Linked DNA regions of Callithrix jacchus. The protein of the gene in region 2 purifies or fractionates together with the protein of the main gene of each other region. This does not show direct contact. Links are inferred from orthologs where the notes say so. Each region holds a gene or a part of one and is shown on either strand. Other genes may lie near its edges. The genes, in order: MC1R and MGRN1.

Region 1 (7,381 bases), on a different chromosome or scaffold from region 2:
CCTGGCTGCGGAAAGCGTAGATGAGGGGGTCGATGATGGTGTTGCAGATGATGAGGGTGAGAAAGACCTTGAAGTTCTTGAAGATACAGTTGCAGGTCAGGTGCTGGGGGCAGAAGACGACCAGTGTGAGATGCAGGAAGAAGGGGCCCCAGCAGAGGAAGAAGATGCCCAGCAGGATGGTGAGGGTGGCAGCACCTCTGAGGCCAAAGCCCTTGTGGGCTGGCAGCTGTCTGTTGTGGAGCCGGATGATGCCCTGGGCGTGCTGGCAGGCCCGGGCCAGCATGTGGACGTACAGCACGGCCATGAGCACCAGCATGGCCAGGAAGAAGACCACGAGGCACAGCAGGACGGCCGCGTGGTCGTAGTAGGTGATGAACAGTGTGCTGGAGAGGACACTGGCCACCCAGATGGCCGCGATGGCTCTCTGCGCCCGCGGCAGTGTCATGATGCTGTGGTAGCGCAGCGCGTAGAAGATGGAGATGTAGCGGTCCACGGCGATGGCGCCCAGGAAGCAGAGGCTGCACAGCATGGAGCTGCAGGTAAGCACGTCGATGGTGTTGTGCAGCTGCTGCACCACTGAGGCCCGGGTCGCCAGCGTGCCGGCCTCCAGCAGGAGGATGATGGCCGTCTCCAGCATGTTGCTGCCGCTCACCAGCAGGTCCGACAGGGCCAGGCAGCAGATGAAGTAGTACATGGACGAGTGCAGGTTGCGGTTCTTGGCGATGGCAGCCACCACCAGCACATTCTCCACCAAGCTCACCAGCCCCAGGCTGAGGAAGAGCCCGTCGGGGATGGACACCTCCAGGCATGGAGCTCCTGTGTGGTTAGCAGCCAGCCCCGGGTTGGAGGTGGCTGTGGGGGTGGAGTTGAGGGACCCCAGGAGTTTCCTCTGAGCTCCCTGCATAGGCATAGTCCCGTCCAGGAAGCAGGAAGGGGTCGCTGGAGGCTCCCAGGTCCCCACAGTTCTCCCCCTGCAGGTGTCCTGCTTAGCTCATGGTGCTGCTGGGGTGCCCTGGGTGTCCCCCATGCCTGCCTCATTCCATCCGGGCACACCCCAGTTCTGCCCTCACACTCACCCTCTCCTTCCTGGACCGGCCAGCTTGGGCATGGCCCAGCCAGTCCAGACACTTCCTAGCATGAACCCTCTGACCTCAGGGCATCTCACAACCAATTTGAACAAACCTGGTCCTCAGCTCCCTCCTTGCCTCTTCCCTGGAGGCTGCTCAGGTTCCCAGGACATTTCCACACCTCTGGCCCCTCCTGGCCTCTGAGACCTCTGCCTGCCTCCTGCTTCCCTGGGCCAGGGTTGGACTGCAGTCCTGGGAAGAATGGAGCCTTTCTCTGCATTTTTAAAGTCATCCTCAGAGCCCCTCCCATGAGGGCGGCCACATGATGGGCGTGTGCCTGGGATGAGTGAGTGCCCACCCCCGCCTGGCCTGCCATCAGGCGGCACACAGCGCCCAGGGAGTCCCACACAGAGCCCATCCCCTTCCCATTAAAAAACACCACCATCTGTCCAGGTCACCAGGGCCCCCGCCTGGCCACCCCTCCAGGAGTCCAGGGTTTCCCCGGGCCCTGCCCCCTCCAGAGGCTCCTCCGCCTCAGATAGTCACTGGCCATGGACAGCAGCCCCAGCCCCTAACCCCCGCTCCTTATGTCAGCAGCTCAGTGAGGACAGGGGCCTCCTCTGCTCTCAGCTGAAGCATGCATGGAGCAGCAACTCAGCTGTCAGTGTTCATGGCAGATTTGGGGGCTGTACCAGGGAGAACTTCCCAGTAATTAAAGTTCTGGAAACTGAATGGACCCTGGTGGAGACACACATCACCAGGGTGTGAGGGGCTTCCAGGCAGGGCAGAGGGTGAAAGGGCCCAATGCCAGAGGTCCCTGAAGGGGGTGATGCTTCTAGGTATCACAAAGAGCCTGAGGCCGCTCTGGCCCCTGCCCCTAAGGGCCCAGCCTCGCCTAGCCAGACTAGCAGCCCCCTTGATGGCAGCCCTGGGGCTGGGGGTGTCGCCTTCTGGTCTCGGACCAGCAGACTGGCTGGGGGCACCCTGGTGAGGCCTTCCGGACCCTTCAGTCATCTCATGGTTCATCCTCATTGGGGCACCTGGGACACTGCTCCTGCCCTCCCCCAGCAGTGCCCCTATTTCCGCTGTGGAGGCACCACAGGCCCAGCACCAGGAGCCACATCAAAGGCAGACCTCTCGCCTCCAGCCAGTGGCCGCACGTGGTGCTCTGCCATCCGTTCACAGCAGTTGGGTGTGGCCCCCAGGCCCAGCAGGGACGGTCGGGAGGGGCCGCCATGCCCAGTTCGGGCATCTTTCTGCGTTCACTCCAGGGCGCTCCTAGCACTTCCTTGCTAACACCGTGTCTGTGTTGACGAAAAACCTCCTTATGAAGGTGGAAGCAGAAGGGGGGACCAAATTACTCATCCCATTTACAGATGCAGAAAAGGAGGCAACGGGACAGGCACCGCATCAGGGTTTCAATGTTTGCACCTGCGACATCTGAGTTAGGATCCATGCTCTCTGTCACTGGCCAGCCTGCCAGTCTCTGACTGTGGAATGCCCACATCACTCACAAGCCACCTCCATGTGTGAGCACATTACTATAATATTTACTGATGCAGTATATATATTTGTTACATTTTGAATTTTGCAATTTATAAATATTTTTGCTTTAAAATTTATTTTTTTGAGACCCAGTTTCATTCTGCCACTGAGGCTGGAGTGCAGGGACCTGATCTCTGCTCACTGCTACCTCCACCTCCCGGGTTCAAGTGATTTTCCTGCCTCAGTCTCCCAAGTAGCAGTCTGGCCGCAGGTGCCCACAACCACCCCTGGTTAATTTTTGTGTTTCTAGTAAAGATGGGGTTTTGCCGTTGGTCAGGCTGGTCTTGAACTCCTAATCTCAGGTGATCCGCCTGCCTCGGACACCCAAAGTGTTGAGATTACAGGTGTGAGCCACCATGCCTGGCCTGCTTTTAATTTTTTTTTTTTTGAGATGGAGTTTTTCTCTGTCACCCAGGCTGCAGTGCAGTTGCACGATCTTTGCTCACTGCAGATTCCACCTCCCAGTTCAAGCAATTCTTCTGACTAAGCCTCCCAAGTAGCTGGGACTACAGGCGCACACCGCCATGCCCAGCTAATTTTTAGTAGAGACGGGGTTTCACCATGTTGGCCAGGATGGTCTTCATCTCCTGATCCACCCACCACGGCCTCCCAAAGTGCTGGGATTACAGCGTGAGCCACCGCACTGGGCCTAAAATGTTTTAATTGAGTACAACACACATAAACGTGCACCAATGACGAACACGCAGGCAGAGGGATGCCCCACCTGAACCAGGTACATAAGCAGCACCAGACACAGACACCACGTTCCCACCCGGCTGGCTCTCTCCGGCTAAGATTTGCCCATGCTGGTGGCTGCAATCCTCTGCCTCAGACCGTGGTGTCCATTGTGTGAACATTGGGGTGGCCTCAGACTCTGTCAATTACAGTGCTGCTGGCAGTTTGCTATATCACCTGATGGACACAGGTGCGTGCACCTGCTGGATGGCATGCAGGAAGGACATGGGCAGGGCTTCTGCTTTGGGACACTTGGTCAAACCATCTTCAGACTGGCAGACCTGGGTCTGGCAGCACACACAGCTCATTTGGACAGCGTGCCCTGCTCACACCTCCACAGACCTGCAGTCTGGCCACACCCACACAGCCTCACCTCAGTCCAGCCTTTTGCCTCCCATGGCCTTTGCTGCCTCATGCTGTGCTTCCAGCTGAGCACAGGGGAGAGAAGGGTTCCAGATGTGAGGAGGAGGCTGAGCCTGGCTGGGGAAGGCAGACGGCCCCCTGGCATGAGGGGCCATGTCCCTGCATAGGAGTCCCTGGACATCCATACACTTCACAGACCCAAACCCCGCTCCCCTGTGGCCATGAGCCGGTGAGCAGCCCTATCCCAGCCCACTGCATCCTCACATTTCAGGGATGTTCACATTCGCATCTCCATAATGAGGCCTTTGAAATAGATGGTGGTTAACCCCAGCCTCCACCCCAGCCACCCAGCCTGGGACTTCAAAGGGCATGAGAATCAGGCAGCCCGTTTCCTGCCAGGACACAGCTGGAGGGCATCAGAAGTGGATGACCCTGCCACAGGACTCCCACTGTGGTTCTCATTGGATGTGCCTGTCGGGGCACTGTGGGAAGGAGATGAGGTACAGATGAGCTGGAAAAAATCAACATTCTGATTCGTTATGGTCATGGGGGAGATAAATTAGCCTCAGGACCATCTGTGATTAGATGGAATCAGATACTTCTACAGCTAATCCTATCTGTTTGGATCTCCTAGTGCCCCTGGAGATGTTGCGTGTGGAGCGGCAGGAAGACACATGGGGCCGGCGTGCCTGCTCACCAGGGTCGTGGTGGACGGTGCCTTCCCACGGGCAGAGGCATGGTCCCATGGAGCACTTCCCACAAGGACGTTTCTGGACTGGGGTCCCATGAGGACAATGAAGACAGATGCCTTCCTGGGTTTGTTCCGTGTCTGGCACCCAAGGTCTGCAACACCCACACACATACGCGTGTGCACACATGAATATGCACACACGTATGCATGCATGCAGTGTGCGCCCAAGGGCTGCAGGGAACCCAGCTCTGTAGCCCAGGGTGCCTGTCCAGCTGCAGCCACCCACAGGGAGGTGGGGGTCACCACTGGACCAACAGTCCCGAGCTCTTGGGCCACCGTGAGTCTGCCTCTGGGTCCCAACATGGTGGGCTCCAGTACAGCTCCCAAGGACAGCCAGGCCCACAGCCCGCCTCAGCCCTTGGCTCAGGGGCCATCAGTTTCCTTTGAACCGGGGGTGGGGGGTGGGAGGGTGGGAGGTGCCTGCGTTGAAGACTCTGGGGCGGGGGACTGGCTCAGTGGAAAAGGGCCCAGCTGGGGAAGCCACATGTGCCTCAGGCTCTCACTGGGCTCAGCAGGGCCAGGGAGGAAGCAGGATCCACGATCCCCCACAAGCATGGCAGAGGCCAAGCCTTGAGAGTAGTCTTCGGGTCTCACGGTCATTAGGAACAGGCTCAGCGGCAGCTCACGACATAACCCCAGCAGCAGTGCCAAGGCGTCAGTGACCCAGCCACCTCTCAGGACAGCAGGTCTGGGCTCAACCTCTGCTGCACTCACTGTCCCTGGAACACCGGCTCTTCTTTGACTCCCAAGCACAGGACGGCTGCTGGAGCTCCAAACACCACATCCCCATGTGGGTGGACTCAAGGCATCTGGAAGGAAGAGGCAGGAACCCAGCTCTCCTTGCTTGCCTGTCACTTTCAGAGAACAAGCCCCTGAAGACTCTAGCAGTCCCCCCATCTCAGTGGCTGAAGCTCATCACAGGCACCTGGCTGTGGAGGGCAGGGAACCAAGGCAGACTGGGATGATCCCGGCCACCTTCCCTGGAGCTGAGTGCAGATCCCCAAAAAAGCCAGTTATGCTGGCATGGAAAAAAGGGTGGGTGAGATGCCGGGAGGGCCCCCGCTCTGCACCAGCCTGTGCTCCCCAGAGCCTCCCGCTGACCACAGACATCATTCCCTTGCTGCAGAGAGGAAGGAGGCTGCTGCACCATCTCTTGCTGCAGCATCTGGGGAGAGGAGCGCAGCAGGCTCAGGATGTCACAGCTGGCACCCCGGTGCACCCCTCCAAATGGCCAGCCCAGCTCGAGGGCTGCACCCTCAGGCCCGCATCTGAGACGGGCACACAGGGCTCACCCCTCAGGCCGCCTCTTATCACAGACAGGGGGCCCTCACTGTCCCGGGGAGGGTCCTGCACCCTAGGCTCCCAGCTGGGAAATACTGAGCAGTCAGGCGACACCAGGAAAAAGATGTGCTCACAGACCTCAGTGGGCCCTTGATAGACGATGATACAGTGATGGGGCTTTCTGGGAGGTGGGTCCATGGACCAGGACCCAGCTGGGGCCAGAACATGTCTCCTGCCTCACTGGCTGCCCTCCTCCCAGCCCCTTGTGCTTGCTGTCTCCTGAGGGTGAAAGATCAGGGTGCTGTGGGGTGCAGGGGACAGAAACCCTGGTGCAGCCATGACACTTCATGTTCTCAGTCCTTCCAGAACCATGCCGGCTTCTGATTTCGCCTGGCTGCACCCTCTGTCCTCCTGCAGCTGCAACACTGCGGGATGTACAGGTTCTGGACACCACCGCTCAAGTGTGCCCAGACCTGCTCCAGCTATGCCCCTCTCCAGGCTGGGGGCTCGGTCAGAGTGGCCCATTCACCCCCAGACCGAATGTCTCCTGATCTTTGCCACACCACCCTTCAGAGCTGCCCATGAACCTCTCTTTCCAAAACATGCTCCTGGGGCTTCTCCTTCAATTCCAGGCACTGCCCTTAAGTTTTCTAATAAAATTATTTTGGCCAGGCACGGTTGCTCACACGTGTAATCCCAGCAATTTGGGAGGCTGAGGCAGGTGGATCCCCAGGTCAAGAGATTGAGACCATCCTGGCCAAGAAGGTGAAACCCCATCTCTACTAAATACAAAACTTGGGCCAGGCACGGTGTCTCATGCATGTAATCCCAGCACTTTGGGAGGCTGAGGTCGGTGGATCACCTGAGTTCAGGAGTTCGAGATTAGCCTGGCCAATATGGTGAAACCCTATCTCTAATAAAATACAAAAATTAGCCAGGTGTGGTGGCAGACATCTGCAATCCCAGCTACTCAGGAGGCTGAGGCACGAGAATCACCTGAACCCAGGAGGCGGAGGTTGCAGTGAGCTGAGATTGCGCCACTGCACTCTAGCCTGGGTGACAGAGTGAGACTCTGTCCCAAAAAGAAAAAATACCGAAATACAAAACTTAGCTGGGCATGGTGAGTGTCGTGGCATGCGCCTGTAGTCCCAGCTACTTGGGAGGCAGAGGCAGAGGCAGAATTGCTTGAACCCAGGAGCTGGAGGATGTAGTAAGCCGAGATGGCGCCACTGCACTCCAGCCCAGTGACAGAGCAAGACTCCGTCTCCAAAAAAAAAAAAAAAAAAGATGTCTCAGACTCCACAGATGGTGGCGTCCAGCCAGAGGACCGCAGCACATCAGCTCCCATCGGCTTGGAGGAACAAGACTGAAGGCAGGCTGCAGCGTAGGGGACTCCCTGCTCCAGTCCCACCCTGAAACCCTCTACCAACAAGGAATGCAGCTGTCCATGAACCCAGAGCAGGCTGAGGAGGACCAGCCCCAGGGCCCTGGCGTTCAGCAGGGACTTGCCCTGAAGACACTGTGGGTCCCCTTCTCCACCATGTCCCAGATTCTGGGAGCAGAGGAAGCACGTGGCCTGGGCCCCGCCTCACTCACAGGCCACTGGGAAGAGACTGGACTGAGTGATTGGAATCTGAGG
Region 2 (6,701 bases):
CCTGTCTAGCCCCAGCCCCTGCCCAGGGCCTTCCCTCCTGAACCCAGAGGTGGACTGCACCTGCTTCGTCCTTCCTGCACCCTTCCCTCAGCTGCCGTGTGGGAGCTGCAGGAGGGAGAGGCAGGGCCGGGTGCTCCTCCAAGTTGGATTCTGGCCACGTTCCGCCTCCCAGCTGTGGTTCTCCTTGCGGTTCTGTGTGGTTGCAGCACAGCGTTTGTTTCTAGATGGCCCCGACCTTGGTCCCCAGGCTGGTGCCCTTGCTGTGGCGGTGCCAGCTGCTGGGTGCGTGCTAACTGAGCTTCCGTCTGTCTCTCCCCTCTCCGCGCAGCCCTGGGGCCCGACTCCTGCTCTGTTGGTATAGACGAGTAAGCCGGTACGTGACCTTCCAGACGCGCTTCGGGGGCTCTGACGCGCGTCCTTGGAGAGAGGAGCCCTCCCCTGGTCTCTGGTGGGGGTTCCTTCTGGTTTTCGGGTCTTCATCCACATCCATGTCTTCCCAGGGGTCCTGGGTTCTGAATCCAGAGCTCTGGTGGCCGCTGCACCTTTGCCCCAGAAAGTGGCCTCCTGAGGGGTCCTGACTTTTAGAGCCAGAGGTCTCTGCATTTGGACCCGGCGACTGGTCAGGATCTTCTTCCAGCCTTGAGAGGCCCTAGAATAGTCCCAGCCCAGGCAGGGAGACAGACCCAGCCCAGGTGTGCCAGAGCCACTGTCCCCCACAGGAGGCAGGAGCATGGAGGGAACCCCAGGGAGACGCGGGGCGACACTTCGGAGAGGAGAGCCTCAGGCCCAGGCCCAGCCTTGTTCCGGATAGTCCCCTGTGAGTTCCCGTTGGGATGTGCAGCAGGTCACTCCCATTTTCTGGACATGGCTTTAAGTAATAAATCATGGGGAAAAGAATGTGCCCCAGGCTGGGAGAGCCTGGTGATCCCTGTTCCCAAGCTCAGTCCCCGTCTCTTGGAGGGAGTCTCTCCTTAAGGGGTCTTCTGGTGCCCAGGGGAGAGCATCTTGCATCCTGTCCTGAGGGCGTCCACTCACACAGCTGCCTGCTCCCCTGCTCCCCTGCTCCCCTGCTCCCTCCTTCGCTAGTCAGCCTGGCTCCGTGGGCCTGGCAGACAGTCCCTTGTGGGCTGCCTTTCTGCTTTGAGACCACCATTACTGCTAACTCACCTGTCCCTGCCAGTACTGGAACTTTCTGGAACACCAGCACTGAGTGTGATAGGCCCTGTGAGGCTGGCACCCCCATTCCCTCCCAGGAGACCCCCTCATCCCCCCCAAGAGGCACTCTCTACCAGGGTGGCCCAGGCGGATGTTTGACCAAAGCCGCTCTGGCCAGGCACTGGCTCACACCTGTAATCCCAGGTCTTTGGGAGACCAAGGGGTTAGATGACTTGAGCCCAGGATTTCAAAGTAGTGTGGGAAACATAGTGAGACCCCTCTACAAAAGTTTAAAAACTGGCTTGAGCTTGGTGGCTTACACCTGTGGTCCCAGCTCCTAAGAGGGCTGAGGTGGGAGGATTGCCTGAGCTGGGGAGGTCCAGGCCCACTCCAGCCTGAGTCCTTGTCTCAAAAACAGAAAATATACACATGCAAACACACACGTACACACACACACACACACACACACACACACGCACAGGAGAGAGAGAGAGAGGACAGCTCCAGGAGTACCACCAAAAAGTAGGCAGGCAGACTGGGGACCCTCTGCCTTCCCGAAGGGTCTGGGCGCACATGCCGCCTGCAGCTCTGGTCTGCTGAGGGGGCTGCTGGTGTTCTCTGAGGCCGGGGCTCCCACACAGGACCACAGCCATCGTCGGGCAAGGCCCATGTGGCCCGCTGGGAAGTGCCCAGCCGGGGTCCAGGCTCCCAGAGGCCCTTTCCCCTGGGCGGACTTGAGCTGGGCCCAGGAGCTTTGCTTGTTTTGACTGCACTCTGCGTTCTCACGCATCTGTCGTCTTGAGCCCAGTGCGTCCCTCTGTGGACCCCTCTCCTGACCTGTCATACCCCTTGACTGAAACGCCACCTGCACCTTTTAGAGGGCCCCGGCCTGCGTGTCGGGGGATGGTGCCGTTCGAATGTTACGGCTCAGGTCAAGCTTCCAGAGGTGGGGAGCGCAGGTGTGGTCTGGAACAGGCTCACAGCCTCTGAGCTCTGGTATTGCTGCAGGCCGAAGCCCCTGAGGAAGATAGCCATCCTTCACCTGAGAGCGGGGCCGGGCCCTGTCTGCTGGGAGCCATGGGTCAGGGCTGGTGGCTGGATGTTGGGCAGCCCTGAGGCCGTGCTGGCCCCGTCCCAGGCTCAGCACCAGCACTGTTACCCAAGCCCCGGGGAAGCCAGACCCATCTGGGGACAGCACCTGGCAGCGGTGTAGAAGCCATAGTCCAAGCGTCGGGGCTCTGTGGGAGGCTCCTCTCTGCCTCACAGAAGCCACCATGGGGCCACTCTGAGCTTGGGATCGTTCTCGCTCGGGGCTGCTCCCTGCCCCTCCACCCCAGGGTGACTGAGTTCTAGCCTAACCTAGCCATAAGGACCTTAGCAGGACAGTGGGTGGTCACATCCCAGGAAACTGGGACCAGGGGGAGGGCAGGAGACCCAGAGGACAGAAGCCACAGCGCCACGTCGTGTTCTGACTCGGGGCTGCAGCTCTGCTGCCAGTGTCTGGGGGTGCAGGGTGATGTGCCCGGTGTCCTGGGATGAGGGGTGATCTGCCTGAGAGGGACACACCGTGCTTGGCAGGGCTGGAGAGGCCCCATCTGTTCTGGCCACAGACAGGTGGCGGGAGTGGGGGTGCGGGGTGGCCCACCCCTGTGTGGCTCCAGGTTGGTAGGAGTGGGTGGCACCAAGCAGCTGAGTGTGACCCACCTCCCTCCCCCTCTGCTCCTGCCTGCAGGATGGCCCACCTCCATGGAAATGGCCCACAGCCTTGGCACCACCAGCCCCACCTGGCCTCCTCTTGGTGGCCCCAGCCCTGATCCCAGCACCGCCGAGCTGACCTCACTCTGAGAGCCTGGCCAAGCTGGCAGCATGGAGCCCTCAGCTCCCTAGACTTTGCCAAGGGGCTGCCCCAGACCCCGGTGTGACTCGGCCTCTCCTGTCTGCATGCCCCCTGTGGCCACCAGGCTCCAAGGGGCTGTGGTGACCCCTGATGAAAGAGCACAGTGGACTGTCCCCCAAGTCCCCCTTTTCTATGGTTGATATATTTGTAACTGGTACAAGATGAAGGACAGCAGCTTTCCATCCCAAGTTCAGCGCCTGGGTTCCCCAGGGTCTGGTGGGCCGAGCATCTGGGGCTGGGGCTGCCCACATGTGGCTTTTGCTGGCTGCACCGGGTCCCTCAGCAGTGCAGTTGCTGCCCAGAGAACTCAGCAGACCTGCACAAGAGAATTTATTGGTGGGTGAAGCACTATCTTCACAGATGTTCGGGGGCAGTGGGGGCTCGAGGCACGGTCAGTGAAGGAAACGGTGCCTGTCCGCCCAGCCCACCGGTGTTACCACGGCAGCCTGGCTGTTGCTGCCTTCTGTCCTCTGCCGTGTTTGTGCAGCCTCCATGCCCTCCCTGGTGTGTCTCTGCTGGCGCCTTCAGTGCTCAGAGCTTTGGGGTGCACTGCTGTCGCTCTGGGCAGCTGAAGCATCTCAGCCTAGCACTGGACCTGACTGAGGGGCCAAGGCACAGCCGCTTCCAGCAGCCATCATCCAGCAGCCTTGTTACCAAGCCCTGCACCTTCTCACCGTGCTGGCTTTGGTGACCTCACCAGGCCCCTCCAGTTGCAGGGCCATCCGTTCAGCAGGGCCCTGTCAAGAAGGACCATTCCCTTTTGTCATTGGAATGTCCCCTGCGGTTCTCTTTTTTTTGAGATGGAGTTTCACTCTTGTTGCCCAGGCTGGAGTACAGTGGCATGGTTTCGCTCACTGTAACCTCCACCTCCCAGGTTCAAGTGGTTGTCCTGCCTCAGCCTCCCGAGTAGCTGGGATTATAGGTGCATGCCACCAACCCTGGCTAATTTTTTTGTATTTTTAGTAGAGACAGGGTTTCACCATGTCGGTCTGGCTGGTCCCGAACTCCTGACCTCAGGTGATCCACCCACCTCGCAAAGTGCTGGGATTACAGGCATGATCCGCTGCGCCCGGCCCCCTTGTGGTTCTCTTTGATTTGATGTGTCAGGCTCCCTCGGTGAGACCCACCCGGGGAGGAGGGAGCCAGCAGCCCACCTGGTAAGTGAGGTCACAGCCTGGAGGCTTGGCCTCTGGGCGACGTTGTCCTGTTTTTATTAAGGTAAACATCCTGGGCAGCAGACAGGTGAAGGGGGTATCTGGCCTTGGTGACCCAGGACTTGAGCCACCCCAGCAGGGCCCTGGGCCGGGAAGGTATGTGTGGGTCTTCTGGCCCGGGGGCGGGGAGGTTGCCCTGCAGCTGGGCTTGGGGATCAGATGGCTGTGGGGCAGCTCACAGCCCTCCCTGAGGTTCAGGGTGGCCTTGAGTACAAGCTCTGCTTCCTGGGCGCTCAGGGGGGACCCAGCAGTGGTCCCTGCACCCAGCTCCCTGCACACCCAGGCCAGTCCCCTCCTGCCCTTGTGCACATGCTCTCACATTCACACACATGCTTATGCACAGTCACTTGCACATGCTCATACACACATGCTCCCACGTTCACGCACACATGCTCAGGCATATTTGCACACACTCATACGCATACACACATGCTCCCACACACGTGCACGCATACACATACCCATACGCATATGCTCCCACGTGTGTGTGCACTTGGCCCAGGCATCTCCCCAACGCACCTCCCCCCACACACCTCCCCCCAACCCCACCTCTCCTCCCGCTCTGCCAAGGCCCCAGCCTGTGGCCGTCGGTCCTGGTGCCAGGGCTCTCCGTGAAGTTCAGGCTGCAGAATGGCCCGCTGGGACTCCTATGTGCTGCCATTTGATGTGCTCAGATGGGCCCATTTGTTTTTACTGTATATTTATAGTAATAAAATCACGCAGCAATATACTGTCTGTTCCTTCCTCTGGGCACAGCCCTCAGGACAGTGGCTGTTTCCTGACCCGGAGTTGGGCCACTGGGTGGTTGGGTTGGCTCCAACAGCCTGGCAGCTCCATGGCCTCTGCCCGGCTTCCCTCCGGTGTCAGGGCAGTGAGCACGGTGAGGGTTAATGAGAACGCTGGCTCCCAGCCAGCCCTGTTGGAGGGAAGCCACACCCTCGATCGGGCTGTCCCCTGAACAGGTGGTGCGGTAGCCCCCGGGCCTGCAGGTGTGAGAGTTGTTGCTCCTGTTCCCAAGTCTAGCCCCGGTGGTCTCAGGGCTTTTGCTGAGCACCTGGTGTGTTCCAGTGGCAGCAGAACAGCTGAGGCGCGGACCCCAGGCGCCTGCATTCCAGGCAGTGAGACGCCCGGCTGCTAATCAGAATCTTGCCAGGTTTGGATGCTATAGGAAGAAGGGGTGGTGGTGAGATGAAACCTTAAAAGGGACTCATTGAACTGGGCGGCAGGGAGAGCCTGAGACTTCCAACAGCCCTTAAGGCTGAGGAGGAGCTGGCCTTGGAGTGCTCCAGGTGGCAGTAGTGAGGCTGGTGTGTCCCCTGGGGACAGAGCCCCTGGTTGGAGTGAAGGGTTCTGGATAGCTACTGAAGAGCTTGTAGAGGCTACTGGAGTGTTTTTATTAGGGGGAGTCAGATTTGTTTTGTTTTGTTTTTTTGAGGTGGAATCTTGCTCTGTCACCCAGGCTGGAGTGCAGTGGTGCAATCTCGGCTCAGTGCAGTCTCTGCCTAAGGGGGAGTCAGTTTTAAGAACAGGTTTTCAAGCAGAGGGGCAGTGCCAGTGCCCTACAGCTGGCCTGTGGAGCCCGGACGGCCGGAGCAGGTCTGGCCGCCCAGGGTTGTGGGCTCGAGGGCTAGAGCCCAACCCCAGGCCTCTGCCCAGCCCCTGCTCCCCTGCCCAGGGAGTGGCCAGTGCACCAGGGCAGCTACCACTCGGCCCCAGCTCCTTTGCACACAGGTCAAGTTGCCACCATGCCCCTCGACTGAAGACCCTGAGGGTGGAGGGGTTGCCCATGTTTTGGCCCATCAGTCCCCCAAGAAGGCTGCCACCCATGGGCCCTGCAGCTGCTCTGACAGGCCTGGGTCTGGCTCCATCCCATTGTGGGTAGAGTGTCAGACGGGTGCTTGCACGGGCTAGATTGGCTCCCCCTCTGTACCTCCCAACAGACCTAGCACTTTAATTGGTGTCTGGTGTCAGGGAGGGACTGGAGCAATGGGAGCCTCCTCTCCAGTGCCCATGCATCTCAAGGACCCTGGGTTCTGGGTCTCTGGCTGGGCTTGGCCGTCTAGGGGTCAGGCCCTCTTTGGGTGGGAGGACCCTTCCCTTCGCTGCCCTCTCGCCTTCTAACATGGTCGCTTACCCTGGGGTCGGGGCTTCTGCTGGCTGCAGCTGACCCGTGTGACCACCTTCACTGGTGGCCACAGCAAGAGAGAGAGGTGTCTTCTCTAGGTTCTTCACATCTGACGCCACCATGGACCAAACAGGTGAGTTTCCAGTGCTCACCCTCTGTCCACCTCCCTCCTGTCTGGCTCCACTCAAGGCAGCTTTCTCTGTGCCTGCGAGCTTGGCCTCACTGCACAGCTCTCCCAGGGCTGTGCTCAGCAAATCCATTTCCCTGGTTGGGAGGAGTGGGCCCTGCTGCTGGTGAGGTGAGCCTCGCC

Evidence for each region.
Region 1: the proteins of MGRN1 (region 2) and MC1R purify together in Homo sapiens (affinity purification with western blotting; 3 studies listed by BioGRID). This does not show direct contact. The link is inferred for Callithrix jacchus from reciprocal best matches to the Homo sapiens genes MGRN1 and MC1R.

Annotation. Positions count from the first base shown.
Region 1 is NC_133521.1:47,549,514-47,556,894, reverse strand, and holds the start of MC1R (melanocyte-stimulating hormone receptor), read right to left. Parts: upstream 4,543-7,381; 5' UTR 911-4,542; coding exon 1-910. UniProt on the Homo sapiens protein: Receptor for MSH (alpha, beta and gamma) and ACTH. The activity of this receptor is mediated by G proteins which activate adenylate cyclase.
Region 2 is NC_133513.1:6,808,548-6,815,248, forward strand, and holds the end of MGRN1 (E3 ubiquitin-protein ligase MGRN1), read left to right. Parts: intron 1-328; coding exon of another isoform or gene 329-369; exon of another isoform or gene 370-373; intron 374-719; exon of another isoform or gene 720-817; intron 818-2,887; coding exon 2,888-3,000; 3' UTR 3,001-4,992; downstream 4,993-6,701. UniProt on the Homo sapiens protein: E3 ubiquitin-protein ligase. Mediates monoubiquitination at multiple sites of TSG101 in the presence of UBE2D1, but not of UBE2G1, nor UBE2H. Plays a role in the regulation of endosome-to-lysosome trafficking.